2 linked regions of the Macaca mulatta genome follow. The protein of the gene in region 1 purifies or fractionates together with the protein of each later gene. This does not show direct contact. Links are inferred from orthologs where the notes say so. Each region holds a gene or a part of one and is shown in the gene's direction. Other genes may lie near its edges.

What was found.
Region 2: the proteins of TMEM43 (region 1) and ENDOD1 purify together in Homo sapiens (affinity purification with mass spectrometry; 3 studies listed by BioGRID and IntAct, with this or other methods). This does not show direct contact. The link is inferred for Macaca mulatta from reciprocal best matches to the Homo sapiens genes TMEM43 and ENDOD1.

The regions. Positions count from the first base shown.
Region 1 is NC_133407.1:152,921,811-152,937,700, forward strand, and holds the start of TMEM43 (transmembrane protein 43), read left to right. Parts: upstream 1-6,034; 5' UTR 6,035-6,205; coding exon 6,206-6,217; intron 6,218-10,367; coding exon 10,368-10,517; intron 10,518-11,881; coding exon 11,882-12,016; intron 12,017-12,598; exon of another isoform or gene 12,599-12,633; coding exon 12,634-12,728; exon of another isoform or gene 12,729-12,752; intron 12,753-13,587; coding exon 13,588-13,637; intron 13,638-13,904; coding exon of another isoform or gene 13,905-13,907; coding exon 13,908-13,977; intron 13,978-14,783; coding exon 14,784-14,854; intron 14,855-15,116; exon of another isoform or gene 15,117-15,253; intron 15,254-15,890. Other genes in the region: CHCHD4 (mitochondrial intermembrane space import and assembly protein 40), read right to left, coding at 2,626-2,686. UniProt on the Homo sapiens protein: May have an important role in maintaining nuclear envelope structure by organizing protein complexes at the inner nuclear membrane. Required for retaining emerin at the inner nuclear membrane.
Region 2 is NC_133419.1:95,901,693-95,917,596, forward strand, and holds the start of ENDOD1 (endonuclease domain-containing 1 protein precursor), read left to right. Parts: upstream 1-6,828; 5' UTR 6,829-6,941; coding exon 6,942-7,241; intron 7,242-15,904. UniProt on the Homo sapiens protein: May act as a DNase and a RNase. Plays a role in the modulation of innate immune signaling through the cGAS-STING pathway by interacting with RNF26.

The DNA.
Region 1 (15,890 bases):
GGTGGGTATTACTTTATCTCCATTTTACAGAAACCACAGGAGCTGAGAAACGGACCAAAAGACATGCAGTAAATGAAGGCAGAACAGGAACTCTGGTCTGAAAGATCCAGAGTGTGTCTCCTGCAAACTGTCCATTGCATGCCTGTCCTGGAGGGCCTCTGCTTTCTGGAACATTTAAAACTCAATTCAAGAACCGATGCAAGGACAAGGCTTACCTATTCCTAACAAATCTAAGTGTGAAAGAAAGAACTGGTCAGACTAGTCATAAGATGCCAACCAGTGGGACAATCAGCTAGACAAGTAGTTCTTATGACATTTCTCAGCAATTTCTCCAGAAAAATAAAATTAAAAGTGCTTGTGTTTTTATTTCTAAGATAAGCTTTAAAAGCAGTTGAATATGCATGTTCTGAAGGAGGTGGATAACTATGTTAAACCTTCTGGCTCACAGTGGCTTCAATATCACAGAGAGTCTGAGAACTGGAGTTCAAAGCTGGACTTAAGCACTTCCCACTGTGTGAGCTCAGGTACCCTCTGGGCCTCAGAAACCAGGCCTTACCACCAGCTTCACTGACCTACCTCACATGGTTGGGGAGGTGAAATGTGTTTCTGCTGTTAGCTAGAATCCCACTCAACAGTAAGTTTTAAAGGGTACGTGGCCAGGAAAAGAGACAATCACAGGCTCAGAGATGTCAATAATATCTTGGAAATGGGAGAGTTGATGGTCGAGTGCTCTCTGACTTAACCAGTGAAGAAAGCTGAACCCAAAGTGCACAAGGAGGAGGTCCCCCAGAATCAACTCAGTCCCCACCCCAGAACCTTGGTCAGAGTGGGGAACTGGAGGCCCGAGGGGTTACTCTGTGAACAGGACTTCAGGGTGGGGCTGAGAACAGAACTGACTGAGCAGTCGGATACCAAGACACCTTCCACCCTCAGCTGTTTAGTTTTACTTTTGGTAGAGCCACCCCAACCCGTCTTTCTCTCACATCTCCATCAGCATATTAGAATGGCTCGATCTTCAAATATATCCAGAAAGAGCTGCATCTCTCACCTCTTGGACCCCATCTCCCACCATCATTCCCTCCACTCCAGCCATGCTGACCTCTGCTTTTACTTGAACATGCTGAGCACATGCCTACCTCTGGCTTTTGCACAGGGTATTCTGTCCTCCACGAGCACTTTCCCTTCCCTCAGGTACCCTCACAGCGATTTCTCCCTGCTTTCACTTCCTGCTCACATGCCACCGTCCCTGACCACTGCCCATCTCCCTTATCCTGCTTTTTTATCTTTCTCCAAAGTGCTTTTCTTCACCCAACATACTATGTATGTTTACCACTTGATGCCCCCACTGGAATGTCAGCTCCTCAGAGGCAGCGATTTTTGTCTATTCTGTTCATTGCAGTATCCTGAGAGCCCAGAATAGTGCCAATGACAAAGTGGGTGTTCAATCTTTGTTGAAAAAAGTGAATGGAGAAACAACTCTGGATTACGGCATGAAGACCCTAGTGTAAGAATTAAAGAAAGAGGAGAGAAACACGAACGGTGGCTTTTCAGTCAACAGGGACAGGTTTATTTTAAACAAACCTGAGGTGGGCTGCTGGCTGAGTTAGGTCAGAGCCACATTCTCTTACAGACTAAGAGTTTTTAAGGATTCAGGGTGAGAGAGTTTATCAGAGGCTTGGACTGCTTCTGTGTCTCTTTATTGTGCTCATCTGGGAGGCAGAGTTGTATGTCTGTTTCCACACATCTTTCTGCAGCTGCAGGCATATCCCCCCCAGGACTGCTTTTAGCTTCCCTATCTTAGTGCACCTGAAGGGAAAGGAATGTTCTTATTAAGGCCCACAGTTTTACTGGGGTCCACTGTATGAGGGTGAAGTTTGGCAGTTACCCAAGAGACTTTCCCCCACCTCCCTCTATGACCGAGGTGTCTTATCTGTGTTTTACTGTCTGCTCTTCCTGGCTGCTTGTAGTTAGAAGTGATTTCCTTGAAATGCATGAGGCTAGAAAGGGAGCTGGAACTTAAAGTGCCAGTGTTTGTCCGAGATGACGCTACTCCTGCTCTGTCACCCAGTCCCAGCAGAAAGCAGGAAGACAGAATGGTTATCACCATTAAGTGAGCAAGACCAAAAAATCCCTTGGATGAGTAGTTTGATTTCCCCCATGAAAGGGGAAGATCTTTACAGGCAAGAATCTCTCAGCATATCCACTCCAGAAGGAATGCCCGTGTGTCCTGCAGAGGAAGCAGTTTCTTGTCTCCCATGGATGCTGACTCACCAGGATCATGTTTGAGAATGGCAACCTGCACTACGGACTTGTCTTCTTTCATTTTTGGCTAAGCTGATTCAATACACCTGTGATACAATTCCAACCACTACTTTCTGACACTCAACCCAAGAAAGAGATCTAAAGCCAGAGGGAGTGGTGCCTGTGGTATATTTTGAGTGAGTAAAGTAAGGGGTTTCTAAGAGTTTGATAAATCTGACTGCTGAGGACTTTCATGTTTAGAATCTAACCCCTTTGAAAGATATAACTCCCGCGTACAGAATCAAGTATCTGTGAAGAACACACAAATAGCTTTCAGACAGAGTGTAAGAAGAATGCAAGTGTTAGAAGTTTAGCTCAACAAACCTTCCTTAGCTCCAGCTCTGTGGTAGTACCTGGTGGTCACAGATGAATACGACACAGGCATCCAGTGGAGAAGACGGAAGGGGAGGGATCCTACCTTTGTCCCTGACAAAGAACTTCAGGGAGGGAAGGAGGGAATAGACATTCCAGAAGGGACCATCCTGGGCAAAGCCTGGAGTGCAAAAGGAGGGTTTTAAGTAGTGTTCGCTCACACACATTGAGGACTGCAAAAGGTTTTCTTAAGAAAACTGGCATTTAAAAGGATCTCTGAAGCCTCAGGAAGCCTTCTCAGACCCCACAGAGCCGTTCACTAAATGATCATAGCATGCTGGGCTTTCCCTTCATGTCACTTATGACAGTCTGTAATCATGCATTGGTCTGGTGATGTTTTAATGGCAATCTCTTCCACCATGCCAGGAAGGCAGAGAATGTGTCACATTGCTCACCACTATATGCCCAATGGCTGGCACGTCACATGTGCTTTATAAATGTTGACTAAACACGAGTGGGCAGGCTCTGCATTAGAAAGAGGAAACTAAGAAAGAAACACTATGGTGCTGACACACAGAAGTGTGGCTAGCCCAAGGCCAGGGAGCCAGGATGAGAGCCCTCGAATGCCAAACCAAGGAGTTTAACCTGAAGGCTGGGTAGCAGGTGGACCCCTGAAATAAACTTGCACAGGCAAGTGATTCACTCAGGACAGAGGGCAGGTACACGCATGATTCAATAAAGATTTGGGCACCCATTGTACACCAGGCCCTGTGCCAGATGCTGGGGATTCCACAGCCCATCTGATGCTCTCAGCTTAGTGGGAGAAGACAGGCAGGAAGATGGCAAAAAATAAAAAAGGTAATTTCAGAGAGTTCAGGATGTGAAAGACACAAAGGGTCAGGAGGCTAAATTTTAAAGGATGAGGAGTCAGCCATGGAAGAGGTGAAGGCAGGATCTACCAAACCAAGGGTATAGCGAAGAGGTTAGAGGCTGGGCAACAAAAAGGTGGGAAGAGACCAGGCTGGAAAGGCAGACAGGGCCAGATCACATAAGCTCTGATACGGTAAGGAGTTTGGGATCATTTTTTTTAAAAATCCTATGGGAAGCATAAAGGATCAGTGAGCAAAAAAAAAAAAAAAAAAAAAATGTTAGGGACTTCTTAGGGGGACAGTGGTATGGATAAGAAAAATACTAAGGAAGGCCTATAAGTGAGTGCTTTCAATTCTCACTCATCTCCTAAGAGAGATCTTTGAACCAGGAAAAGATAAGGGCTCCATGTTTTTTTTTTTTTTTTTGAGACGGAGTCTTGCTCTGTAGCCCGGGCTGGAGTGCAGTGGCCGGATCTCAGCTCACTGCAAGCTCCGCCTCCCGGGTTTATGCCATTCTCCTGCCTCAGCCTCCGGAGTAGCTGGGACTACAGGCGCCCGCCACCTCGCCCGGCTAGTTTTTTGTATTTTTAGTAGAGACGGGGTTTCACGGTGTTAGCCAGGATGGTCTTGATCTCCTGACCTCGTGATCCGCCCGTCTCGGCCTCCCAAAGTGCTGGGATTACAGGCTTGAGCCACCGCGCCCAGCCAAGGGCTCCATGTTTTGAAGGCAGATGGACCTAGCCTCCCTTTCCAGAGAAAACTGCCTCCTGTAAATCCTCAAAGAGAAGGAGGGTTTTGTTTATCAGCACAGCCTCATTATACCCAAAGGCTCAAAAATTATTTGCTAAATGAAGTAAATTAGAGAGAGACTTGAAATTAAAAACAACAGTGGTGAGGGCAGAGGACTTTTGCTTACGGCACACATTAAGTAGTAATCAGCGGAAATATAATAGTACTCATTAAAGAGTGAGTCTTATGGCTTTACAACCCAGAGGAGGAGAGGTTCTAGAAGCAGACAGGGCTACTAGGGAAAAGGCTCAGCATTTTAGGCTGAGCTATGCTCCTAACTGGATGTGTAACTAAGGTAGGCCACCTCCTTCTCTGGGCTTCAGATTGCTTGAATTAACTGATGGAGCTGGAGTATTCACCAAAGAATTTCTGGGTGACTTCCAACTCTCTCTGTAGCTTTATAACCATCCATCCCCCTTCTCTGGAGCAGAGAAGATGCTTCATGAATATTTGCTGTATCAGTGAAGCCCAACATCTCATTTTACAACACTGGAAACCAGGGCCTGGAGGGGTTAGGTAGGAGCTTAGGGCCAAGGAGTCAGTTTGTGGCAGTGTGTGGGGAGGCCCTCCGACCTGTGGCTTGGGTACTTCTGAGCTCTTGGGTAGAGTAACATCAAGGAAGCATTAGGTGGTTGGAGCTCAACTTTGGGGTGGGAGGTAGGCAGGGTTCTCCCTGCAATCCACTGGGCACTAGATTGGAAAAGGCTGTTCTGGGGTCACAATGCCCAGGCTCAAACCCCGGTTCCACGATTTGCTGGCTGAGTGGCTTTAGCCAAGTCTCCTGTGTCAGACTTTACTCTTCAGTAAAATGTGACCAGTAACAGAGTCTGACTTACAAAGGGCGCAGCGAGATCAATGAGACAAGCCACGTAAGTTTCCTTGAACAGTGCCTGATAGGTAGCAGGGGGCTCAAAAACATTCCCGTTAGTAGAACTCCTAGCACAACTCCTAGCACCCCAGCACAGCACACGCTACCCCCAGTAGCAACTTTTCGGGACCCGCCTTTTAAAGGCGCGTGCAAAATGGCAACACGTGGGGTATGGCAGGAGCGGTAGTAATAATTAACATACATTCCCAGTTACGAGCCACACGCAACGTGCTCGGCATTTCCCGTGCCCCAACCCGGCCTAGTTTACGACTTCCCACGCACAGGCCCCTCTGAGGTCAGGGTTCGGGCTTCACTGTGACCTTGGACCAGTCCCGTTCCCCCGAGAGCTTCGGTTTTCTCATTCGCAAAACACGAGTGGCGACCCCCCAGCCTGCCCGCCTCCGAGTGTCCCAGGGTGGGCAACCGGGCCGCGCCTCGGGTGGCCCGCGCCTGCGGCGTGGTAGCGGGGCGCCGGGGCCCGCGTGTCTCCCGCAGGCCCTCGTAGGCCGGTCTCCATGGCAGCCCGCCCTCCCTACCTTCCTGCCGGCAATAGGACATGGCTGCAGCCCGTCCCTGAGACCTTGCAGAAGCGGCAGTGGCGGTAGCTGCAGCTTTACGCCGTGACCTCCTCTCCTCAGGCAGGGCGGGCGCCTCCGAAGCCCGCGCGGACCCGCCCCCTCCAGGCCTGCCCGCCGCGCGCCTGCCTCGGCGCCCTCTTAACCGCGGCCAGGCCCACCTCAGCCGGAAACTACATTTCCCAGCAGGTCGCGAGCCCCACAGCAGCTCGCCAGGCAGTAGAAACTACATTTCCCAGAAAGCTTTGCAGTGCGCAGGCGCATCAATGAGGTACTGTAATGTCCCTGACCCGTTTCCAGGTCTCGCCGTGCGCATGCGCAGAAACACTGGGCACACGGGGCGGTAACTGCAGTAAGTCCCGCCTGGTCTTGGAGTCCACGCGGATTTTCGAAGCTGGGGCTGGCAAGAGGCCGCTGGACTCCGCGCTCCAGTCGTCAGCCCACTTCCTAGCTGAACAGCGCGAGGCGGCGGCAGCGAGCCGGGTCCCACCATGGCCGCGAATGTGAGTGTCCCCTGGCCAGCCGGGCCACACCCAGGCTTCTCCGTCGCCCTGGGGCTCTTCCCCGGGGCCCTCTGGGTCCGTTTCGCCGTCTGGAGCTCCTCCCTGCGGCTGGGCCCGCATCTCCCTCTGCGCGCCGTGTCGGTGCCTTCGCCAGCTCATCCCTCTGTTAATCTCTCGAACCGTCCAGACTTCTTTTGTCCGTGTTCTTTGGTCCGCCTAGTCCTCGGCGTTCGTGCGGAGGCGGACTCGGAGGTGTTGCTCCCGCACTACGATCTGCTTGTACGCCTCTCCGCGGCTCCTCCTTGCATTCCTAGTTCCCTCCTGTATCTTGGGGCCCTGAAGCCGTCCCAAGGTTGCGCATTATGAGAGCTGGACGGGAGCTCAGAGAGGGGGCCATTCCCTTGGGAGGGAGGAAGGCGACCCAGCCCAAGTGGAGCTGTCCAGCAATGGACGGATAGGGCTGTCCAGGCGGGCAGAGAGCTCCCCGCTCTAGGGAGGCTGTGTAAACCGAGGCTGTGATGCTGCAAAAAGCTTAGGCTGGGCTGGGAGCGAAGGAGTTAGGGGGAGAGGGAGCATTTCTCTACTGTCGGGGCCCCTCCTCCTCCTAGCAAGGATTTGGTTGGAGAAGGCCTGGCTGAGGGCTGTTCCTTCAAGGCCTCTTCTCCCTGCAACTAGCCTTTCTCGGGAAACTATTTAAGCCCAACATTCATTCAGCACACCAAGCAGCGCCTCCTACCAGGGCGCTGGATGTGGGAGAAGCTGGTGACTCACTTCTCCCCTCCTCTGTGAAAGTGCTTCTAGGGCCTGCTTAGGAGCCCAGCCAGCCCCAGACACACCCTCCCTCCTGCTTTGGTAGAGTGTCCTAGCAGCTCTCCCCTTGCCTGTCACACCCTATTTCCAGACGCCGCCTCTGTCCCCAAGCGTCCTCTCTGCCTCCCACACCCCTTGAGAGGCCAGGGTGTGCATCACCCACAGTCCTAGTACACTCTGTCTCGGGTTAGTATCATCTACACTCCCAGGACACTTTGGGCCCACAGGAGGGTTAGAAGCCTTGAATGGTGTACCTAGAAAGGCCTCAGAGGTATTCCGAGAGACTCAGGCTCGGCCAGGAGAGAGGGCAGACAGGAGACCAGCCTGTTTGTAGTATGTGGACTCTGTCTGCTCCCATCACCACCACCACCATATTTTACAGATGGTGAACTTCCCCAGCAGGGGAAGGCACCTGCCCAAACTCTTGTGGCCAGCTTGGCATGCTGCAAAGGGCAGGCTTTGGAGTTAGGGAGACCTGGGGGCAATCCAGATTCTTCCACCCAGTAGATGTGTGGCTTTCATCTCTCCAGGTTTATGTAGCCTCATGGATCAGTTACTGTGACATTTAAGGGAGACTGCTTAGCACAGTGCCTGGTGTGTCGTAGGTACCTAATACTTGAAAACTAGCCTGTCATTGCAGAGGGGAGCACAGATGGTCCCAGTGAATAGAGATCGTCTTGGGTACATTGAGACCTGGCCCCTCACCAAGGAACATACATGCATTTGAGTATCCTCTGCTGCCAAGCATTTGTTGATTCATCCAGTAGCTGGGTATACATTTACAGCAGCCACTAGGCTGGGTGAGGAAGAAGATAGTGGGATGGAGTAGGGAGGCAACAGAATTCTCAATCAGTATAGCAGCAGCAGTACCGATGGTGAAGGTACTATTCCCCTCTCTACTTTATAAGTGAGTAAACAGAATCAGAGAGGTAGAGCAATTTACCCAGGCTTCACAGCAAGTGATTGGTGAACCTGGGCATCGAACCCAGTTCTGTTCATTTCCAGGGCTTATGTGTCAGCCTCTGTTCCCACCACTCATTGCTCATTTCTTCTGAGTCCTGAGTGCTGGGACTGGGAGGGGATGTGTCACTGGGGATGTCTGTGTGTGTGTGTGTTTACATTTGTGTGTATACATGTAATATATATGTATATATAAATATGTGTGTATATATAGATCCTTTATGATCCTCCATGTTTACTGGGAATTTTGGTTCAGAATGTGGGCTGGGTATGTCATGTCACTGCCTACCTCATCCCTCCCCTAGCCTGAGGGGCACCCTCCTGTACCTCTCTTCCTTCCCTCCAAGGCTGTCTTTGAGCCCCTTATCTTGATGCTGGCTGAGGGGACGCCCAAGAGGAAGCCACGCCTCCTTTTCCTGTTGCTGCCTGCAGCCGGCACCCAACATTCAACTCACATTGTAGCCCAAGAGCTGGGGAGCACAGACTGGAATGAGTAATAGGAGAGTAGTCTCCAGTCTGCCCAGATGTGAATCCTAACTCTTCCTCTTAGAAACTGTGTGATCTGGGAAGATGACTTAACCCAAGCCCGATTTTCTTATCAGTGAAATGGGGTGGTTATGGCATCCAGCTCTTTGGGCTTGCGTGTGGGCTGGCCTGTGATAGACCGGCGTGTTTGCCATTGTCATCATTATGATGGTCACCTGCCTGCCTGTGGTGATTCCCTCCCTTAATGTTTCCAAATGGTATAGAAAGTCAAGATGACTTCTGGATTCATGGACATCTGGTCACTGGAGGCCTTGGCTGGTGATATTCAAAGACAATCAGAACGTGACATCAGCTTTGTCCAAGCAGAGACTCTGACTCAAATCACTCCTCTGGCCCCTAGTGCCAGGATGGGGCACTGTCTTAGCTGGGCCCCACTTTATATCTTTGTGACTTTTGTCAGCTCACTCCCAGCCTGGTGCCAGCCCACTATCAGTTGTAGAGAAATCTGGTAACATTCCCACTAGCTAACATGTGTAGAGTGCTTACCAAGGCCTCGGCCCTGAGCCCCCCAATAACTATGTTCTTTGCTTCTCACCACAACCCTATGCACAGAGGAAATGGAAAGCACAAAGTGGTGAAATTGCTTTTGCCCAAGACCCTGTAGCTGGTGTGTGGCACAGCATAGATTCAAACCCAGTTCTTCTGGCTCCAGAATCCTGCCCTAGACGATGACGCTTTTGATCAGCAGTGGATGCACCCCAAATCATGCCTGTGTTATTGACCAAAGCCTGATCCACTCACCCTTGAGTTTGAGGCCCACTGTGAACCTGCCCAGAAATGCCTAGCTCCAAGCCCTTTCTTCCTCCATCCCTCCCACAACCCAGCCAAAGCAGATAGGCAGCTGCTCCCCCAGGACCACTTCCTACTTCTTCATCACTGCTGACATGGTTCTCCCTTTAGGGATGCTCTTCCCCTAAGGTCTGTCTCTAAGATTCCACTCAAATGCCCCCTCCTCCAGGGAGCCTGCCTTGATACCCCAGCTGGAAGGGGTCACTCCTTGAGCACTGAGTCCACCCCTCTCACAAGACACTCTGTATGACCTTCTAGTATTGTTTATGGTTGTGACCTCACTGCCCTAAGACTGTCTACTTCTGACCCCACAAGGGCTAGCACTGCCCTCAGAAAGCTCAGCCACTGTTTGCTGAATTTAATTAAAAATACCTCTCTAATAACCTCTTTGTAAAATAGCCTGGCAGTTTCATAAACACACATCTTCTCTGTGAGCCAGCAGTTGTACTCCTAGGTATATTCCTACAGGAGATGAAAGCACACGTCTGCATAAAGGTTCATGTATGAATGTTCACAGCAGCGTTATTCATAATAGCCAAAACCTGGAAGCTGCCAAGATACCCATCCACTGACGAATGATTCAGCACATTGTGGTATAGTCATAAATGGAATACTACTCAGCCCTGAAAAGGAACAAACTCCTGATAAACACCACAACGTGGACGAATTGCAAAAGCAGTGCTCTGAGTCCAAGAAGCTGGGCAGAAAGGAGTTGGTGCCCTGATTCCATTTTTCTCAAGTTCTAGAAGAAACAAAACTAATCTACAGTGGGAGAAATTCAAATTCAGATTCTCCCCATCCCTACCAGTTACCTCTGGTTGGTGGAGAGGGGGAGAGTTGGCAGGAAAGGGGCACAAAGAAACTTTTTGGGGAGATGGAAATATTTTGTACCTAGCCAAACTGCACATTGAGTATCTGTGTGTTTTTACCACATACAGTTAAAACTAAAAACAAAACAAAAAAAACTGAGTATAAATAAATAGCAAATTTCATTTATTTTTAAAAAACTAATTTTCCTTCTGTGACTATGTTTCTTTTTCTTCAGTATTCCAGTACCAGTACCCGGAGAGAACATGTCAAAGTTACAACCGGCTCCCAGCCAGGCTTCCTGGAGCGGCTGAGCGAGACCTCGGGTGGGATGGTCGTGGGGCTCATGACCTTCCTGCTCTCCTTCTACCTAATTTTCACCAATGAGGTAAAATGTCTGGCGTCTTCCTGTGCAGAGTGAGAGTCCCTACCATGTCAGAGAGCAAAGGCTATGAACCCAGAGGCTGGTAATAAAGGGCCTAGATTTTACAAAAGAGAAAGAAGGATACTGAGTTAATCACAGTTCTTTGCATTGTGATGCATCCCACAGCTGATGTGAGCAGGAAAAGGAGTAGATCAGTTCACACACCCGAAAATCCAGGGCTTAGCACCTGCCTCAGGCGTAGTTGGATCCAGGTGTTCATGCTGGGTCACCAGGAGTCTCCATTTCTTCATCTTTAGCCTGTTTTTCTCTATTATGGTGTATTTCTTGGGCAGGCACTTCCTCTGTGATGGTAAATGTGGCCCCAGCAACTGGCTTACATCCAACCACTTAGCCCAGGGAAGAGAAAAACCATTTGTTTATCTTCCTTCCCTTCCTTCCCTTCCATCCCTTCTTTCCCTTCCCTCCCTTCCTCCCCCACTTAGCCCAGGGAAGAGAAAAACCATTTGTTTATCTTCCTTCCCTTCCTTCCCTTCCATCCCTTCTTTCCCTTCCCTCCCTTCCTCCCTTCTTTCCTTCCTTCCTCTCTCTCTTCTTTCTTTCTTTTTCTCTTTTTTTTTCTCTCTCTCTCTCTCCTCTCTCTCTGTCTCTCTCTCCTCTCTCTTTCTTTTTTTCCTTTTTTTAAAATAAGACCTCATGATGCAACAGCATATTTCTAAATCAATTTAGCAACAGTTACAGGGCAATCTCTCAGTGTCCTGGCTTGGCTGTCAGTCCTCTGAATCAGTCTCCGTGGCCAGGGGTCACTCACATGTTCTGATTGGCAAGGTCTGGGTCACATGATTTGAACAGGGGTTCAGATCTACCTAGGTAAACCACATGGACTGAGTAGGGGAGAGGAGAGCCAGGCATGGTGGCTCAGGCCTATAACCCCAGCACTTCGGGAGGCCAAGGAGGGAGGATTGCTTGAGGCCAGAAGTTCAAAAGCAACCTGGGCAACATAGCAAGACCCCATATCTACAAAAAATTTAAACATAAAAATAAAATTAAGAAAAAGAAGGCAGAGAAAAATGGGGAGAAAGAGACAGGCAAGCAGAAACGCCAGCTGTTCTCACCACTGGGGCAGTGCTAAGACTGGTGGGGGCTAGTGGGAACCAGTGGGGCAGTGGGAAGAAGTCTGCCTGGGAAAGCAGGAATCTGGGTTCCAGTCCTTACTCTCCACTTGCTAGACCTCAGTTTTCCAACTGTACAGTGGGGAGATGGGTCTCAGTGCTCCCTGAGGCCCCATCCTACCCTGATACTTTGCAACAAGCACAGTCATGTTGAGCCACCCCTGAGTTGTTGAAATTCCCACTCCCCTTTGCTCCCAGGGCCGTGCGTTGAAGACGGCAACCTCGTTGGCCGAGGGGCTCTCGCTTGTCGTGTCCCCTGACAGCATCCACAGTGTGGCGCCAGAGAATGAAGGAAGGCTGGTGCATATCATTGGCGCCCTGCGGACATCCAAGGTAGGCTTGGCAGGGGATGCTGACCTGCCAGTGGCTCGGGGCTCATCCTGGATGTTGTCTGGCTGAGGATTTGAAAGCATGGGCCTTGGAGATGGTCACACGTGAGTGTGATTCCCGACTCCACCGCTCAGCAGCTGTGTGGACTTGTCTATCCTGAGTCTCAGTGTCTTCATGTATAAAATGGGGATGGTAATAGTAACAAGCTTGTGGCCAGCCTTGAGGATTTGGTGAGATGAGATAACTAACATCTTGATACAGAGGGTGGCACTCAAGGAGGTGCTCTCATGATTGTGATGACCGTGTGTGACCAGTGCAAAGCCACAAAACAACCCTGGGCACCAGAGCTTTCGTGTTATTTGAACACCCTGTACGCTGTTGGCACCATGCCATTGGGCCATGCAGCCCAGGCCTGTACTGTGAGGGTCACGGGCGCTATGTGTGAAGAACTTGGGATAGGCAGTGTCCTTGATCCTCCCCTGCAAAGCAGCCTAGGGCTCTCCACCCTTGTCCCCTTCTCTATTTCTTCCTCTTCCAGTCCAGCTTCCCCTCAGCCAGGCTTTCTGGGCTGACATGAATCTTATCTTTTATTTTTTTGGTTTCTTTGATTCTGTTTGAAGCTTTTGTCTGATCCAAACTATGGGGTTCATCTTCCGGCTGTGAAACTGCGGAGGCACGTGGAGATGTACCAGTGGGTAGAAACTGAGGAGTCCAGGTGAGGCGCCAGGGGCTGAAAACTCTGTTGGGGTAAAGGAGGAGTGAGGTGTAGGTGTCAGGATAACATGCAGATACCTTTCATTTTGATGCCTTTGAAATTCAAGGATAACATCTTCCTATCAGAAAAGTGTGAAATTATCCCCAAATTAATAGCCAGTGATTTGGAAGTGGCAACAACCCAGTGAAGAGTGGCTCCAAGAGGAAAAGGGGATCGAGTCACTCCCACATCTGGGAAGTTCCAGAGATGCACAAGCTTGAAGCATGACTTGGAGCAGGCGTGAAACACTGTCATGGGATCAGCATGTCACCCCCGAGACCCCACTGCATCTCTCTGTGTTCCGCCTTCCCATCAGCTGTGTTGGTCCCATCTTCTCTCCACTTACAACTTATCATTTCTGACAGGAGTCCCGGGGCAGGTTCTCATTGACCAGGGCTGGGGTCACCTGGAGCCCCACCTGAATCACATGGACTGTGACCGATGGGTGGGGAGGTGGCGGGAGGAGCAGGAGAAGGGCAGCTTCAGGAGCCCCCGCAGGGCTGTCCCGGAGCAGAGGGTGCAACCAGATCTCTGAGCCCAAAGGGCAGAGCTGGGCCCCTTGGTGGTGTAAGGCCAGTGGGGGTAGATTTCAGCTCAGGATGGGAGCGCGCTTTCCTCCAGGCAGCGCCTTCGAGGGCGGGAGCTGGCTGGCTGTCAGGAGGGAGTGCCCTATCTTGGGGCTGATGTAGAGAAGGCATCTGCCCCCATCTGGGGAGTCTGCATCTGGTAGCCCTGAGGTTGCTTCTGGCTCAGATGCTTAGAGGTTAGACCGTCCAGGGCGACGAGGCTAACCCCCATGGCTGCCTTGCTTTCCCTGCAGGGAGTACACTGAGGATGGGCAGGTGAAGAAGGAGACGAGGTACTCCTACAGTGAGTACTGGGCCCCTCACGTGGTCTCTACCCATGGTGGGGGCCCACAGCAGTGGCTGGACAGCAGGGCTGTGAGTTGGGCCATGAGAAGGATTCAGCACCAGGCATCAGAATCCCTGGGTGCCAGTCTTCAGAGTCCTGCTCTCCCACCCATCCAGTGAGGCTCCCTGACCCACCCCTTTGGCTGGGAGATGGGAGGAGCTGGGCTGGTGGGTATCAGCCACGTGCCACTCCTACCCAGGCTCTGAGTTGTTTCCTCTCCCCGAGCAGACACCGAATGGAGGTCAGAAATCATCAACAGCAAAAACTTCGACCGAGAGATTGGCCACAAAAACCCCAGGTGAGAGCCAGGCCCCAGGCCTGAATGCAGCCTTGTCTATACTGACAGGTCTCCAGCCTCAGTTTCTTTATCTGAATAACAGGATTGAGTTAATCCTGCTCCATGGGTTGAAAATGTGGGACATGGTTTTGAGACCAAGCCCTGTGCTGGGCACCAGGAACACAGAGACCCGTCTCCCCTGACCCCCAACGAGCTCCCCACAAACAGGTCACAAATGTACGGCCTGCACTAAGCATCTAAGGGGATTTGCACACACGGAGCCAGGCAAGCATTTTGTTAATGGTTTGCCATGGGTAGGAGGACAATTAGGACAGGCTTTCCAGAGGCAGCAGCATTTGTTGAGGCTTCTCAGGATTTCAGCAGAGGGAGGTTAGCTCCGTGGCATGCCAGTGGTGAGGTGGGCATAACACTTGTGTGTGGCTAGAGAGCAGGCCTTGTTCAGCAATGGTCTGGGCTGTGCCAGTAAGATGGTCAGGGGATGGAATGCTCTGGGAGGGGCTAGTGAGGGGTGTAAAGTCCATGCAAGAGATATCTGACAGCGGTGGGTGGGGCACGACAGGCTGGCAGGGGTCTAGGCAAGAGGGTAGGAAGCTCCAGGGAACAGGAGACAGAGTGAGGGCACTCAGCCCGGGGGAGGGGGCACAAGGGCCCTGGGGGTGGACAAGAAAAGATGTCTGCTGTGCCTGGGCTAATCTGGACTTGCAGGAACCCCCAGGTGGGGACCCTGCCCAGCACAAACAACCCAAAGGGACCCAGGCAGCTCCAACACTGGTGCCCATCTCTTGACAGCTTCCTCTCTCCCACAGTGCCATGGCAGTGGAGTCATTCACGGCAACAGCCCCCTTTGTCCAAATTGGCAGATTTTTCCTCTCGCCAGGTAAGTCTCAGACCTCTCCAGAGGAGCTTGTGCCAGAAGCACAAGGCCCCTCCCACAGCCGGAGCTCCCAGCACTCAGCCTTCAGATGGCTAAAGGCACAGGATCAGTCTATACCTTTCCCACCACCATGCTTTGGGCGGCCAGGGGAAGGCGAATCCCCAGGGAGCAAGGGCTAATGTAGAAACCCCCTCCCCACTCCATCCTACCAGGTTCCTCTGAAACCTGGGTTGTTCCAGAGAATGACTCAGGCATGCATCCTCACCCTGCTGCGTGCCGGTGTCTGCCTTCCTTCCTCAAGCAGACTCCTTCCTCAAGCAGACTCCGGCTAGTAGTAGACATGGGGCGACTCAGTGCTCTCGGTCTAGGCCTCCGCCTCTGAGTCCCACCTGTGCCAGGAAGTCACTAGCTCATCACAGGCACCCCCCATTGACTCCAAAGAGAAGCTTGCAAGGGATAAGGTGGGCCGGAGAGTGTGTGGCTAGAGAGCAGGCCTTGTTCAGCAATGGTCTGGGCTGTGCCAGTAAGATGGTCAGGGGATGGAATGCTCTGGGAGGGGCTAGTGAGGGGTGTAAAGTCCATGCAAGAGATATCTGACAGCGGTGGGTGGGGCACGACAGGCTGGCAGGGGTCTAGGCAAGAGGGTAGGAAGCTCCAGGGAACTTCCATGGGCCGGCACCATGGGCCGGAGTAACCCTGGGGTCTGTTCCTGGGCCTGACCCGTGAAGGTGGGAGAAGATACCAAGGGTCCAGATAGCCCTGGGGAGGCTGGGGGATCCTGAGCCTGGCCTGGGTCTGCTTTGTTGCTGGATGGTGCCTGCTGTGCCAGCTGGGCCTGCCCTCAAGTAGCTCTCAACCCAGGAGGCAAGTCAGGCTTGGACGTGGATGGCCGTAACCTTGATGGAAGGGAAAAGGGCTAAGGCCACTCCCAGTGCTGTGGTCACTCTGACTTGGTGGGAGAGGGCACAGGGAAAGCTTCCTGGAGGAGATGGTCTAACCCAGGGGAAGCCGTGGACGAGACAGATCAGAAAGAGGCACC
Region 2 (15,904 bases), on another chromosome or scaffold:
AGGGACCCTGAACAGAGGGACCAGCTGAAGCCATGGCACAAGAACATAAATTGTGAAGATTTCATGGACATTTATTAGTTCCCCAAATTAATACTTTTATAATTTCTTATGCCTGACTTTACTGCAATCTCTGAACATAAATTGTGAAGATTTCGTGGACACTTATCACTTCCCCAATCAATACCCTTGTAATTTCCTATGCCTGTCTTTAATCTCTTAATCCTATCATCTTCATAAACTGAGGAGGACGTATGTCGCCTCAGGACCCTGTGATGATTGCATTAACTGCACAAATTGTTTGTAGAGCATGTGTGTTTGAACAATATGAAATCTGGGCACCTTGAAAAAAGAACAGGATATCAGTAATGTTCAGGGAACAAGAGAGATAACCTTAAACTCAGACTGCCGGTGAGCCGGATGGAACAGAGCCATATTTCTCTTCTTTCAAAAGCAAATAGGAGAACTATCGCTGAATTCTTTTTCTCAGCAAGGAACATCCCTGAGAAAGAGAATGCGCCCCTGAGGGTAGGCCTATGAACGGACCCCGTGGGGGCGGCTGTCTTTTACGGTCGAAGCTGAAGGGATGAAATAAGCTCCCGTCTCCTGTAGCGCTCCCAGGCTTATTAGGATGAAGAAATTCCTGCCTAATAAATTTTGGTCAGACAGGTTGTCTGCTCTCAAACCCTGTCTTCTGAGAAGATGTTATCAATGACAATACGTGCCAACTTCATTAGAAATTTTAATTTCACCCCATCCTGTGGTCCTGTGATCTTGCCCTGCCTCCATTTGCTTTGTGATATTTTATTACCTTGTGAAGTATGTGATCTCTATGACCCACACCCTATTCGTGCACTCCCTCCCCTTTTGAAAATTGCTAATAAAAACTTGACTTGCTAGTTTTACAACTCAGGGAGCATCACCGAACCTGCCGACATGTGATGTCTCCCCTGGACACCCAGCTTTAAAATTTCTCTCTCTTGTACTCTTTCCCTTTATTTCTCAGACCATCTGACGCTTAGGGAAATAGAAAAGAACCCACGTTGAATATTGGGGATGGGGTTTCCCCGATACATTTGTCTGTCTTTTTCTTTGGTAGTCTTTTATAATTCCCTGATGCTGTTACATGTTGACTAAGACAGACACATACAGACTTAGAGATGGGACTAAATGTTTTCCCTAATTTTTTTCCTACCAATTAAAATAAACAGCAGCTGATTTAACTCATAATTAAAATGAAATGGTTACTTAGGCAGATGTATTTCTGAAATAAATGTGTAAAGTTCTGTGTTGAAAATAGAGATGACCTGGTGGTAAGCAGAGATTGTGGGTTCCAGGATGGCTGAGACCATGTTGTATATCCTCTGTGGCCTCAGCAGTCTGCACTGAGCCTGGCCTGTGGGGTCCACTCACTATTTACTGAATGAAGGAATAAGTTTCTCCTCTATCCACATCCATATTGATGTGAAGTCTGATATTAGTTTTTTCTATATAATGTGGTAAAAGACCCAAAACATAAAACTAATCATCCTAACCATTTTTTAAGTGTTAAGTATATTCACATTGTTGTGAGAAAGATCTCAAGAACTTTTTCATCTTGCAAATTTCAATTTCTATACCCATTAAACAACTGCTATTATTTTTAAACATCCACATTTAGCTTTACTAGAAAGAAGACAGCTCTGCCCACATTTCAGGTAAACATGACTCAACCTTCTGCTGCTTATGCATCAGCAAGTCTCTTGACTCAGTAAAACACTGTCTGTTGCCCACACATGGGTTCAGCCAGGCAGGCTGTCTTTGATTTGGTCATTATTAGAAAAATAAATCAGGCATTTTAACCCCAATAGGAACTACTCCTCAGCTTCCTCACCTTTCCTGGTAACCTAAACTGGATTAGCTTCCTCATTTGCCAATTCCTTATACGTGCTAGAGAGACAAGAGAGGAGAGCCAAACAAGTAGCTTTAGGGGCCTAAAAATTAATTGTTATTCTAGTTTGTGAACCATGTTTCCACATATCTCATAATTAAGTATGATTTTCCACCATTCCCATTGTCTTTCCAGAGCTGCTCTTCCTAAATTATACTTCTCTGCAACATAACACACAGTACTTCCCTTATCAGAGCATTTCTCACGCTGTATTGTAATTGCTTGTCTGTCTGTCCTCCCTACCATACTTCAAGTTCTGTGATGCCAAGGTCTGTGTCAGTCTTGCAGTGGAATGAAGATGGGTCTAGCATGAACTCAATGTTACAGAACTCACCAGCTGCATGAAGATTCCTCTGCTTTGCTCTGTCCTAGTCTAAGGCAAAGCCACTTGCCAATAATTGGTTAGCTTGTGTTTTCTCTTCTGGTTGCCCACATGGCACTGAGAGGTGCTGGCATGAATGCCAGGAGAGCAGGAACTAGGCTAAACTTTGCTTCCCCTAAACACCCAGCATCGCCATTGCTGGCTCATGGTAGATGTTCAAAAAACATTCTGAGGATGAATGAATGAATTAGAGCAATGAAAACCCAAATGAAGTTTCATAAAGAAGGTTTTATTCTTTCACTCATCTACTCACTCACTGTATTAGATGCTTACTCTATAGTAGGCACTATGCTCATGACTAAGGGGAAAGGTAGCAGTTATTAAATGGGGTTACTGGCTTAATAGGCATAATTAGAAGGGGCTCTTAACCTCATAGAGGGGTGGAGGGAGTGAAATTGAGGACATGCTTGTCAGGAAGGTGAGTGATTGAGGAAGTGATGGTTAGCTAGATTGTTGGGATAAAAAAAAAAAAGCTAAGCTAGATGAAATGAGTAAAGGGATGAGAATAGGTGGTGAGAATTTCAGGACAAGGGAAGTAGTTTATGATGCAAATTTTCAAAGACTAGAGAGAGCATCAGGCTGAGTTCAGTGGCTCAAATCTCTAATCCCAGCACTTTGGAAGGCCAAGGCAGGTGGATCGCTTGAGCTCAGGAGTTCCAGACCAGCCTGGGCAATATAGCAAAACCCTGTCTTTACAAACAATATAAAAATCAGCCGATGTGGTGGCTACACTTGTAGCTGCAGCTACTAAGGAGGGTGAAGTGAGGGGATCGATTGAACCCATGAGGTTGAGGCTGCAATGAGCTGTGATTGCACCATTGCACTCCAGCCTAAGTGACAGAGAGAGACCCTGTCTCAAAAACAAAACAAAAGAGAGAACATTGTGCATTCATGGAAACACAAGAAGCTGAGCATGTGGGCAAGGTGGGAGTGGAGAAAGATGAGGCCTGGGAGGGAAAGGCCAGGTCTCTGGGGTCATGGAAGTCAGCTAGTATGTCTGGCTGCATCCCAAGGCAAATGGAGAGTGATTAAAGTGCTGTAAGTGTAGGGTGACATCATCAGATTTATGTTAGGAAGTCATCCTAGCTGGAGAGTGGATTAGAAGGGATGATGGAATAAAAACCGGGCATGACAAATGAGGATGGCTTGGTCAAAGGTGTGACGGTAGGGATGCAATTATCATCAGAGCAGTGAGGCAGGGGAAAGAAGTGTCTAGTTGGGCTCATATTTTTAAATAACTTTGGACAGAACCAACCAAACCACAGAAGCGCATGTCAAATGTTTTATTCCACATCAGCCATTACGTTTCATCCTCAAGCCTTTGCTGAAGGCTGTGGAACGTTGTTAGCTTTGGCTGGGTCTGAGTGCAGAGACCTAAGAGGATCTGGTTTGAAACCTCTTTTCCTTTGAGAAGAGAGTCAGTGACCAAATGTAGAGACAGCAGTGAATTATTGATGGACCTACAAGTTTTACACATACAGATGTTGCTTAAGACAGTTTTCCCCTAGAATCAGCAGTTAGCAAATGTGTTAATTAGATCAAGTCACCCCTCCCTACCTTGTAGTTTGTTCCAGAATCTTGGGGTGAGAACATTTGTAATTTGCAAAAGTAATATTTTATCTGTGGAAGACAAGCACACGGAAGAAAAATCTATTGTCTTGTACTATAAACTAAAGAACATAAAGTAAACGAAATCATCCTGGCTGTGGGATGTACAAATGTTCAGTGTTATAACGTGTGTCAGTCACTGACAGAGGGCTGGGGGAAAAACTAGACTCTGCCACGGGGACTGAGTGGCGGAGATATTTATGCTTATCAAAGGTGGAGGGCAGGGATCAAGAAATTTTGAGAAAGTGAATTAAAGTCTATACATACTTTAGTCATAAAGGCCAACAATGTATTATACTTTCCGCATTGGTAAAATACAACATAATCATACTTGGCATCTAATCACTCCGGATTTTGTGGTAGCCACTGGGATCCACCAACCACCTTTGTCCCTAGGAGTACATGATTTAATAAAGAAGACAGATACAGGGATCATTAACACTCTACCATGATAAGTATCATAACAGATACATATTCAAAGAACTCAGAGAAGAGAGGGATTGATTTCTAGTTGTTCAACTGTGTTTATATATCTTTATGATTGACATCATAAGTCAACACTGGGGAACCCTATACTCAACCTTATAAAATAATGTAAATATTTTTAAAATCCTATAAAACCTATAATCCTCCCAGCATCATCCCTGTGGGAGGACTTGATTGAAGCCTACAAGGATGAGATGACTGAGATACTAGTACCAGATGATCAGAGTCATCATCCAGATCAAAGGGGACTTCAAGTCTAGCCTCTTCTGTGACATTACACTAAATGTGTCCCCTCCTTTTTCTAAAAACTAAGATACAAACTTTGGTTTCATTTCTGGGACCAAACATAGTCAACATTTTCGGCATTAAAACCTGTAAGAAATTTGTTCTTAAGTTCCAACGTATAATCTCTTGAATAGCTTCCTTCTTTATGGCCTCATTTTACAGATGTGCTGTGAGTTAAAAGAAAAGGCCAGGCTTGGGAATCAGAGACCTGTTTCAAATCTGCCTCAGGACTCACTGGCTGTGCCAGCTTAGGCAAGCATCAACAGGCTGTGTCCTCAGTCCCTGTAGTGGCACACTGGAGAAACAGATGACATCGTAAGATGAGTACAGGCCTTGGCCCTGGGGAGCTGCCCTGACCCTATCTCTGCTGCCACCATCCTACCATCCTAGTCCAAGCTACCATCTCTCATCTGGATTGTGGCAATTGTGGGGTGTTTTTCTTTTTCTTTTTTCTTTTTTTTTTTTGAGACAGAGTCTGGCTCTGTTGTCCAGGCTGGAGTGCCGCGGTGTGATCTCAGCTCACTGCAACCTCCGCCTCCCGGGTTCAAGCTATTCTCCTGACTCTGCTACCCGAGCAGCTGGGATTACAGGGGCCTGCCACTACACCCAGCTAATTTTTTGTGTTTTTAGTAGAGAAAGGTTTCACCATGTTGGGCAGGCTGGTCTCGAACTCCCGATCTCAGGTGATTCGCCTGCCTCAGCCTCCCAAAGTGCTGGGGTTACAGGTGTGAGCCACCCATTTATTCTGGGCCACTTCAATCTACCAGTCTCACCCTGAGAGCGAAAAGGATAGAGTCACCACCTTTAAAAGATGAAAATCCTCAACATGATTTATAATATTTTTCTGCAAACTGCAGGTCATGAACCATTACTGGCTCATAGAAACAATTTAGTGGGTCAAGACCAGCACTTTTTTAAAACAGTGAAGTAGAACAGAAATATGAAATTGTAATGCCAATCATAAGCATAAGAATTATTTCATGAAACTTTTCTCATTATGGGCCTTCTCAAAAAGTGTTTGAAGGCCTCTGGCCTGTAATACCCTGAGTAATACGACCCTTGCCTCCTCCTTTAGCTCCACTTCCCATCATCCCCACGCAGTTCTCTGCTCTTTACCCACACTAGCTTTCCTTAAATTCCTCCAACACATCATGTTTCTTTCTGTGGGAGACCACTTAGCACATGGTTTTCCTCCTTGCCTAATGTCATCCTTCAGGTCTCAGCTCGGATGCCATTTCTTCAGGCAAACCTTCCCGGATTACATCCTGAACCCCTGCAGCTGTCAGGGTCTCACAGATCTGCGTTCAGTTTTTAGTTATCCCTTTAATAGCATGTTTCCTCGGTGAGTGACAAGCTTTCCCACTAGGCTGTCTTTGTGACCGCAGGGGCCCTGTTCTTGTTTACCCCTGTGGTAATCCAGTGCCTATCTCAGGCTGGCACCTAGGCATTCAGAGGGATAAATGAAGGAAAGAATTGGCCAACCTGTTGACCAGTGACGTTGGCTGGCCTCCTTCCTTGCTTGGTATCGGTTTTGTTTCTAACCCTTGCACCGAGAAAACCACACAGGGTTGTACTGTCTGCCCAGTTCAGGAACTTCCTTTAACAGTATTTCTTTACTCTCTGAGTTTCTGGTGAGCTCAAAAACAAAACAAAATACTGCAAGAAAATTGTATGCGTGTGCTGGCCGTTGAGCACTTCGGTGGAGAGTGGGAGAAGGATCTTCATAAGATTTCAGAGGGGAACTCTGCCCATCCACTCCGAACCAGCTGCAGCTCCGTGAGCATCTCACGCCACCCGTCTGCATCCCCAGGGCTGCCGTGGGGCGCGCGCGATCAGCAAGCTTCTTGGCGCCCAGTCCATGCGACTATCTCTTCCCAGTCCCTGGACTAGGCCTGCCCCACTCGGATTCTCCACTCTTGGTAGCGCGCGTCCCCGCGGACTGCTGAGACCAGGCGGCGCGGCGGCAGGTGACCCGCTTCTCCAGTCCCGGGCGCAGCCCAGGGGACATTGTCAGCAACGCGGTGCCCGGCCCTGGGCCTCTGCAGCCATCTTCAGGGAGAGGGGCGCGGCCTCCGGACGCGGATCCGCCCCCGCCGCCCGGGTTGCCCCGCCCGGCTCCGCAGAGCGCGGCGCCTGGGTTCCGACTTCCCTTCCCTACCCTGCTAGGCTGCGTCGCGCGCTCACCGCCCAGCCCGCAGAGCTCGCGCCGCGGCAGCCTAGCCGCTCGGCCCCGCCGCGCTCGCAGAGGCCGCCATGGGCACTGCGCGCTGGTTCGCGCTGGGCAGCCTCCTCGCCCTGGCTAGGCTGCTGGAAGGCCGGCTCGTGGGCGAGGAGGAAGCCGGCTTTGGCGAATGTGACAAGTTCTTCTACGCCGGGACCCCGCCTGCGGGGCTGGCGACCGATTCCCACGTGAAGATCTGTCAGCGCGCGGAGGGCGCTGAGCGCTTCGCCACCCTCTACAGCACTCGGGACCGCATCCCCGTGTACTCCGCGTTCCGCGCCCCGCGCCCTGCGCCCGGCGGCGCCGAGCAGCGATGGTTGGTGGAGCCGCAGGTAAGCGAGGTGGTTCCCGAGCCGGGGACCGTGCCGCTGGACTTGCCCCCAGGGGCGCTTTGCGGCTACCGCGAGGGGCCGGGCCGGGAACAGCAATCCCTACGCCTTCGATGCCTTGGGCCAAGAAACTCGGGTTCCAGATCCACCCCGTTGCGTCCCCGGAGTTTAGCCTGCCTCGCCCTCTGTCGAGGCTACAATAAGAGCCTGGCGATCTGCGAGCCTTCACTTCACTTCATGAGTTGCAGGGGCGGGAGGTCCCCTGTGGGAGGAGGTTCTCCCTACATTTCTGAGCAGACATCCGCAGTGTTTCATTCCTGAATAGTGAAGAGCGTGAGACAGAGACCCTGGAGACCGTTCAGATTCGCAGAAAGCCTACGCTGGGCGCTCACAGGCCTTCGTGCAAGTTACTGTCATAGCACTCATTTGGAGGTGGGTAGGTGGGCATTTTCATCCCCATTTTACAGAAGAGGAGATTAACCCAGGGCGTCGAAGAGACTTGCGGAAGACCACCCAGTTAATAAGATGGGGCAGGTCTTTTGTCTAGAAATTCACTGTCTTTTCTACTAAGTAAAGCTTCTCTACTGCAGAGCTTATCCTAGCCTGAAAATCCTTCCTCTACACACGGCATTGAGTAAATTCGATCTGCGGTTGTGTTGAATTAGAATAAAATAAAGATACAGATTTTTAGAAACGCAATGGGATAGTTACAAATGATAGGGAAACAATGACTACCTCCAACTGATGGAAAGATAAGCCAGTTTTTCCTGACTCTTCATATCTATATTATCATACCACTAGGAAATCATGTCACCTCTCATGGTGTTCTGTCCCATCTGGTAAAGGTGAACAAACACTTGAGAAGCCCTCAGAGTCTTCCGAACCTGCTTTCTTGCTCTTAACACATCCTGACTTACCTCTGCTCAGTTGATCTCCTCTCTAGAATACCCTGCCAGGCTCCCCTTTCCCTCTCACCAGCCTCCCACCCCTGTCCAGGCTGCTGGGGGAGGAGCTGACCCAACGGCTCTCCCTTTCCTGAGGACCACAGCTGCCCAGGACCACACCAGTGGACAGGAGGCTGGCTTTCAGGTGCTTTTTTCAGAGCCTGTGGATTGTAATCTCATTGAGATATTTCTAGCTCTGAGGTCTTGGCCAGGTCTCAAACAATCTGCACCTAGTTTTCTTATCTTCCTCACATCCTTCCACTTACCTCAATTGTTGATAACACCTGTTGAGATCAGGTATGTGAAAAAGACGTTGTCAATTGCACACACAAGATCCATTTAAATCCAAAATTAGTTTTCCTCCAGCTGTACCCCTAGAGCTCACAGGGTGTTGCCCACCTCTTGTCTTGCACTGTGATTGTGTGCCTGTGAAGAGAACAAATGACCTGGTCCTTTCCCTTGATCTCATGGATAGCTTGGGGAGACAGAACATACGTTTGAGGAAATCATGGGAATGCATGCTAAACGAATTTCAGTTAAATTCAGAACACATTTAGTGATCTCCTGCTGTGTGCCAGACATTTGGGATGCCAAGAGATCTGAGTGCCGTTCTAGAACAAAGGTTACCTGATCTGCAGGTGGAGTTTTCTGGGTGGAGAGGTGGTGTAGCATTTGATTAGAGCCATGCTATGTGGGTTCAAATCCTAGTTGCTCCGCTGACTAGCTATGAACTTGGGCAGGTTAAATTGGAGATAATAGCATAGGGTGTTGTGAGATTTAATGAGTTACTATATACAAAGTTCTCAGGTGTGTGACACATGAGTACTAGCTGTTGCTATGACACGGGCAAAAAAACCATAATTTAATAAAGGTGAACAAAGTTCTATTAGATTTAATCTGTCTTTGAGGTGATGGAAGCAAGCCTTAGGGTCAGGATGACATTTGTGCTTTGTGTGGAAAGATAAGGCAGAGTTTAGAAGGGAGGCAAAGAAGAGGACATTTCAAGCAGAGGGAACAGACATCAGGAGTGAGAAAGGCATGGCAGATTCAGGGATTTGTGCATGGAGAAGTTGGAACAGGTAAACTAATACAAATAGATTAATGTACTCAGTTGCTCAGAATAAAAGGGAATCACGGAAGGGAGGGATCAGGTGGGGAGGAGCCGTCAAGGAAGGCTTAGGGAGGCAGAGCCATTTATGCAACTAGGGAAGGAGTGAGTCATAAAGGAGCATAGTTTGCCAGAAAGAAGTAAAGGGAACCAGGTAACATGGATTCCGTGGGTGGGATAATGAGGAAGGGGACTGTGGAGATTAAAGAAGATGGGAAGGGAGGGCGGAAATAGTTACAAATGGCAGCTTGAGAGGTAAGATGTACTGTAGTTCTGAAAAGTACAAGGGGCCTGAGCTCTTACTGTGCTGAGAGGTCAGAATGGTCACTGTGGCTGAGCACTGCAGGATGCTTTTCCCTGCAAAGTGGATGGCCTCCCACACCCACCCACTCAACCCCAAGTCAAATCAGCCAGGATCCAGAGAGTATTGGGAGAGATGGAGGGAGGAGGAGGTGCGACGTACAGCTGGGCCTGCAGTGCACTGCAGCAAACCTGCCCCCCTGCTGCCTACTCCCTGACGCCTTGCCTCCTTGCCAAGATCCCCACTGCAGAAAGATGCTCAGGGCTCAATGTGTACCATTGGCTGCTTCCAAGCACTTTCTAATGCTGAGTCTCCTTGTGCCCACATCACCTTTTTGTGAGGTCAGTGTTGCCAAGAGGCCCTGCACACAGGAGGAAGAGGCAGGAGACCAAAGGAACTCAGTGCTTGCCTCCAGTGATGAGTCAGGCAGGGCAGCAGTGACACTGAGTTCCCAAAGCCCAGTTCAGTAGCTTTTGAGGCCACACTGCAGTTTCTCTCTGAAAACAATCTCCTAAGTCAAAGATCACAGAAACTTAGTCACTCTGGTGCTTAAAATCTGTAAAGTGTTGCCTGCCCAACCCCTACTGGACAAAGTTCACACTGCAGAATGCAGTTTAGAGGCCCTCCATAGCCTAGCTCCTGTCTCCTGCTCCAGTCTGGTTTCTCACCATGCCCCACCCTCATATTTTATGTTCTAGCATTATCCAGCTGCCTGGAGTTCCTCTCATAAACCAGACTGTTTGTGATGTCTGTTTCTTAGCTCATGCTGATTCCCTTTGCCCAAATTCTCTTTCTACACGGACCCCATCTTATCCTTCACTTCCTGCTCTTACTCCATCCTTTAAGACTCTGCTGAGGTGTCACCTCCTCCAGAAAGAATTCCCCACCTAAATTGTATCCACCTCCCGAGTTAGGTCCTCCCCTTCAGTGCTCTTATAATTTTTCTATTTTCATACCTACCATATTGTTTTATAATTATCTGCTTATGTATCTGTCTCCCCAACTTGAGCCCTTGAGGAATGATGACTGCATCTTACTCATTCTTTTCCTAGTGCCCAGCTTATAGAAAGCACGTGATAAGTGTTGAATCAAATACTTTGATGTTGGGAGGATCAATCAGGCAGCAGCAGGTGAGATTTCTGCTTGAGTTTTCTCCGTGGGGCGCTTCCTGTTTCAGAAGCTTGCCCCGTGGCTGTCCAGCAACTGCTGTTACGAACGTGGTCCCTGTGCAGCACTGGAACCCTGCTCTGAAGCCACTCCATCAATCTTAGCTTTGGCCTTTGAAACTATCCCAAATGGTTTTGATCTATGCTCTGCCTAGAGGAGATGATATGGAGGGGTTCTAGTCAAGACTCCAGAAACCTGAGAACTGGATTCTGGTTTAGTGCAGGAAGCCTCAAACCTTTTAGTTTGTCGACTCCTTTCCACTTAATGGAAAAATTTTTAGATAAGATACCAATGATGCCTTTCTAAAGTGCATTGCTGATTTATGCCAGAAGCCAACGTATAAAGCTTTATTATTTTATAAACGTGGAACTAACTGACTATATAAGGTTTCAAAGTGCATTGCTGATTTATGCCAGAAGCCAACATATAAAGCTCTGTCATTTTATAAACATGGAAGAAACTGAATATGTAAATTATATAATATTTATTATATATTTTATGTATTCATTATATAATATATATCATTTAATATATAATTTATATATTCAGTAATAATAGTGTATATTTGTTCAATCTTACAAAAATACTGTGAGGTAGATATTATCTTCTTCATTGTAGAAATGAGGAAACTGGCTCAGAGAGGTTAACTGAGGTGTTTAAGGTCACACAGCTTATTTTTGAACTCATTACTGAGTACTCTTCTGATACACCATGGAGATTCTTTGATCTCACAATGGATCCACTGCATTAATGGTTTTAGGACTTTAATTCTCATCTTTTATGTGAGAATTCTAATTTCTACTCCACTTCTATTTTCTGACAGTCATAGGACAAGTGGGAGCACTTATTTGGCTGCATAAAGGTTGCTGAAGTGTCCGTGACTGTGGAATGAAGGGGATATTCTGGTTAACTACAAAAACATTTTTCCGGAGGGCACAGTGAGGTCATATTTCAGATCTTAGTAAATGCATATGAACGGTTGTCTCAAGTTAGAACCTTGATTAAGTCCTTGATTTTTAATTTCCATCCATGGCTTTTACAACCTGAAATAGAAATATTGTTCAATTTGTTCCAACCTCAGCCTTCTTTTCATTGTGTCAGAGAACAGATATGTAGATCATCATACACTTAAATCTCTGTGTAAGTAATGCAGTGAACAGGACAACCCTGATTCTTACTCCTTAATTAAGAGACTTAATTCAGATCCCTGCTTTTCCATTTACAAGCTATGTGACCTTAAATTCTCCCAGCCCTCTTTTTTGGATCTGTTCATTAAAGGTCGTAACAGTGTTTACAGAGAGGTTGTAACAAATAAGATAACACATGAGAGCATGTGGCATGGTACCTGGAATATGGTAAACTCTTAGTAAATATTAATATGCATATAAGGTATTACTTCAGTAGGTGCTAGGCGTGCGCACGCACACACACACACACACACACACACAAATGGAATGTTGGATTAGATAGGTGACACCTATAGTTCTACAAATCTCTCCTAAATGTAAAATAGCTATACCTGTATCTTCTCAAATGCTCAGTATATGTCCCACATTCATATAGTAGATGCTTCATAAATGCATGATGAGAGATGAAATGTATGGAAAATTGAATGAATGGATGGAGGGTGGATTTGAGTGATTAAAAGCAAAAACAAACCAAACAGGTACCAAAGACATCTCCACCCTCTCTGTCCTGGGAAACCAAGAAGTGTGTTGTCACAAAACAGTGAGCAATGGCATTGCAGTCTATTGTGCTGAGCCTGGATAAGACTGGGAAATGCCCGACCCAGGGGATGGTTCCAAAAGCAGTCACTCACAATTTCTTCCCTACTGTGATGCACACCGCAAAACAGGGCCCACACATGATATCGTTTGTTGGATTTTTCCCTTCTGGCTTTTTCTTCATCTTTGGATTTAGTGTTTCCTTTTGTTTTGCAGGCCACTCTCAGGATCAAGTTAAGGTACTTACCTATGTTGGCAGAATATTTCAGGGACATTCGTCCTGCAGCAGTCCAGTGGTGACAATTCCCTACACTATTCTTTCAGTTTAGATTTATATCTGGACAATCTAGGCAAGGAACTATCATTTATTGATCGCTTACCATGTCAAAGGTCTTCACAATCTAACTCATCTCATCTCTATAACAACTCTAGGAATTATGACCTGTGTTTTATAGTTTAATCTCTATAACAACTCTAGGAATTATGACCTGTGTTTTATAGTTTAGGAAACTGAGGTTCAGAGTGGTTAAGTAACTTATCAAAGGTCACACAGCTTCTAGATGGCAAAGCCCAGACTGGAGCTTACTACCCAAAATCCAAAGCTCTTAACTCTCTTTCTTCTCTGTCACACTGTTTTCTCACTTAAATGTTAGTGTTTTCTCTCCAGAATCCAAACTGACTGACTAGACTCATTATTTTATTTTTAATCCAGTTCTTTGGATGGTTTATGGCTTCACTACTAACATACCATTCTGTAAATGCCAGCTTCAGATTTCTGTTAGCTCCGTTACTGGTGATTCATGGTGATTGAATGGAGCTTTCCTTGGGGAATTGAGATTTTATTCTTTGGGCATAAAATTTACCTTCCTTTTAAACTCTCAGCTCTGAAAGTGAAAATTTGAGAAAGTAAATCCTCTTATTTGCCAGTAGCATTTGCTTTCAGTTACCTTGTCTGTCTTCTAGAATTACTGTTAGTCAAGGAAGCTTTTTTTTTTTTTTTTTTTTTTTTCAAATTTCCTCCTTCAAGATGCATGTTATATCTTCTGAGTGGTGACTTACCCTTTCAGTTTCATGGAACTTGACATTTATCATGGCAATAATTAATTGTCGATATATCTATTTGGCCACTGAAAGGAAGGAGAAATAAAAAAGAAACTGACTCATAGGCTGAACCAAGAATAGAAGCACCGTTTAGTGTTCCAGTCATGCTTCATTGACCTACTGCTGGACAGAAGTGTGGCTCAATCAAAAGGTCAAACAAGGGTATTTTATATTTTTAATCAAAGCTGGAAATATGGGTACATTTTACTTTGTAGAATAATAGATGGCTGAAATATTATTTGAAAATGTAAATATAATTACATGTTTCAGTTGACTTATACTTTAAGGGCTGGTTGGTCTTGCGTTTGTATTGACTTCCAGTTGGCAGGGACACCTAATCTTTTAAGAAAGCCCTGAGCCCTCTGTCAATTCATTTTAGTCAACAAATCTTTATTGAGCATCTGCTATGTGTCAGCCACTATTCTAAGCCCTGGAAAGAGAGCAGTGAACCAAACACACAAAAACACCTACTCTCATAGGGTTTATATCTAATAGAGAATATAGATTATAAAATACATAAATAAAAGACATAGCACCAAGCGCAGTGGCTCACACCTGTAATCCCAGTACTCTGGGAGGCCAAGGCGGTCTGATCATTTGAGCCTAAGAGTTCGAGACCAGCCTGGGCAACATGGCAAAACCTCATCTCTACAAAAAATACAAAAATTAGCCAGTTGTGCTGGCATGCACCTGTAGTCCCAGCTACTCATGGAGGCTGAGGTGGGAGGATCATTTGGGCCTGGGAGGTAGAGACTGTGGTGAGCTGAGATCATGCCACTGCACTCCAGTCTGGGGGACAGAGTAAGACCCTGTCTCATTAAAAAAAAAAGGCATATTAGATAGTGATAAGTGTTAAGTAGAAAAAGCAAGGAAGGAGGCTGTGAGATATCAAGGAAAAGATGAAGTTTAAAACAAGGTTTCCATCCAGGGAAGAGATCACTGAGCAGATGACTTTCGGGTACAGACAAGAAAGAAATAAGAAAGCCAATTATGCAGACGTCTAGGGGGAAAACGTTCTGGGTGAAGGGAATAGTAATTGCAAAGGCCTGGAGGCATGAGTGTGTTGAGGAAGAACTAAGAGGCTGTTTGGCTAGAGAAGGGTAAATGAAGAGAGTAGCAGGAGATGAGGTCAGAGAAGTGCGGAAGAAGAGGGCAGATCATTTAGATTCTTCTGAGCTATTTGTAAACTATTGGGGTTTTACTGTGTGTGAAGTGGGAAGCAATTGTGCAGGTTTCTGAGCAGAGAGCTTCGATGTGATCTGGCTTACATTTAAATGGGACCAGTTTGGCTGCTGCATTGAGAATTGACTTGTGGTGTTAAGGGCAGAAGCAAAGAAACCAGTTAGGAGGTTTCAGTGATCTGACAAGAGATGGCAGTATCTTGGATCAAGGTGGTAGCACTGCATGTTCTGGATATATGGTGAAGAAAGAACTCATAGTCTTTGGAGTGAGAGAAAGGGAAGAGATGACTCCAAGCGTTTGGGCCTGAATGATTAGAAGAATGTAGTTGCCATGAGTAAGACAAGGATACAAAAGGAGGAGCCGTTTTGGGGCTGTATCAAGAACTCGCTTTTGTTCATAGGAGCAAGAATATAATACTGATTGCGTATCCATAATCTGAAATGCTTGGGACCAGAAGTATTTCAGTTTGGGGATTTTTTTGGATTTTGGAATTAGTGGCTGAACATCCCAAATCTGGAAATCTGAAATCTGAAATGCTTTAATGAGCATTTCCTTTGAGTGTCATGTCAGTACTCAAAGAGCTTTGGATTTTGGAACATATTGGATTTTGGATTTTCAGATTTGGGATGCTCAGCCTGTAGTGGCTACCAGGGGCTGAGGGGTGGGGAAGATGAGGAGCTGTTGTTCAATGGGTATAAAGTTTCAGTTATATGGGATAAATCAGTGCTAGAGGTCTGCTGTACAATGTAATGCCTGTAGTCTATGATATTATATTGTGCACTTCAAAATTTAAGAGGGTAGATCTCATATTAAGAGGGTAGATCTCATATTAAGAGGGTAGATCTCATATTAAGTTTTCTTAATACACACACACAAAACAAACAAACAAACAAAAGGACACAAGGAAAGTATGGGAGGTGTTGGACATGTCTCTTTCCTTGGTTCTTGTGATTGTATGATGCAATGTATTTGCATACATTCAAACCCAGCACATTAATTATGTGATGAGTTATTACATATTTATTGCACATTTAATTCATCACATTAAATATATACAATTTTTTGTTTATCAGTTATACCTTGATATAGCAGTAGAAGGCAAAGGTACTCAGTTTTGGACACTCTGAGTGCGAGATACC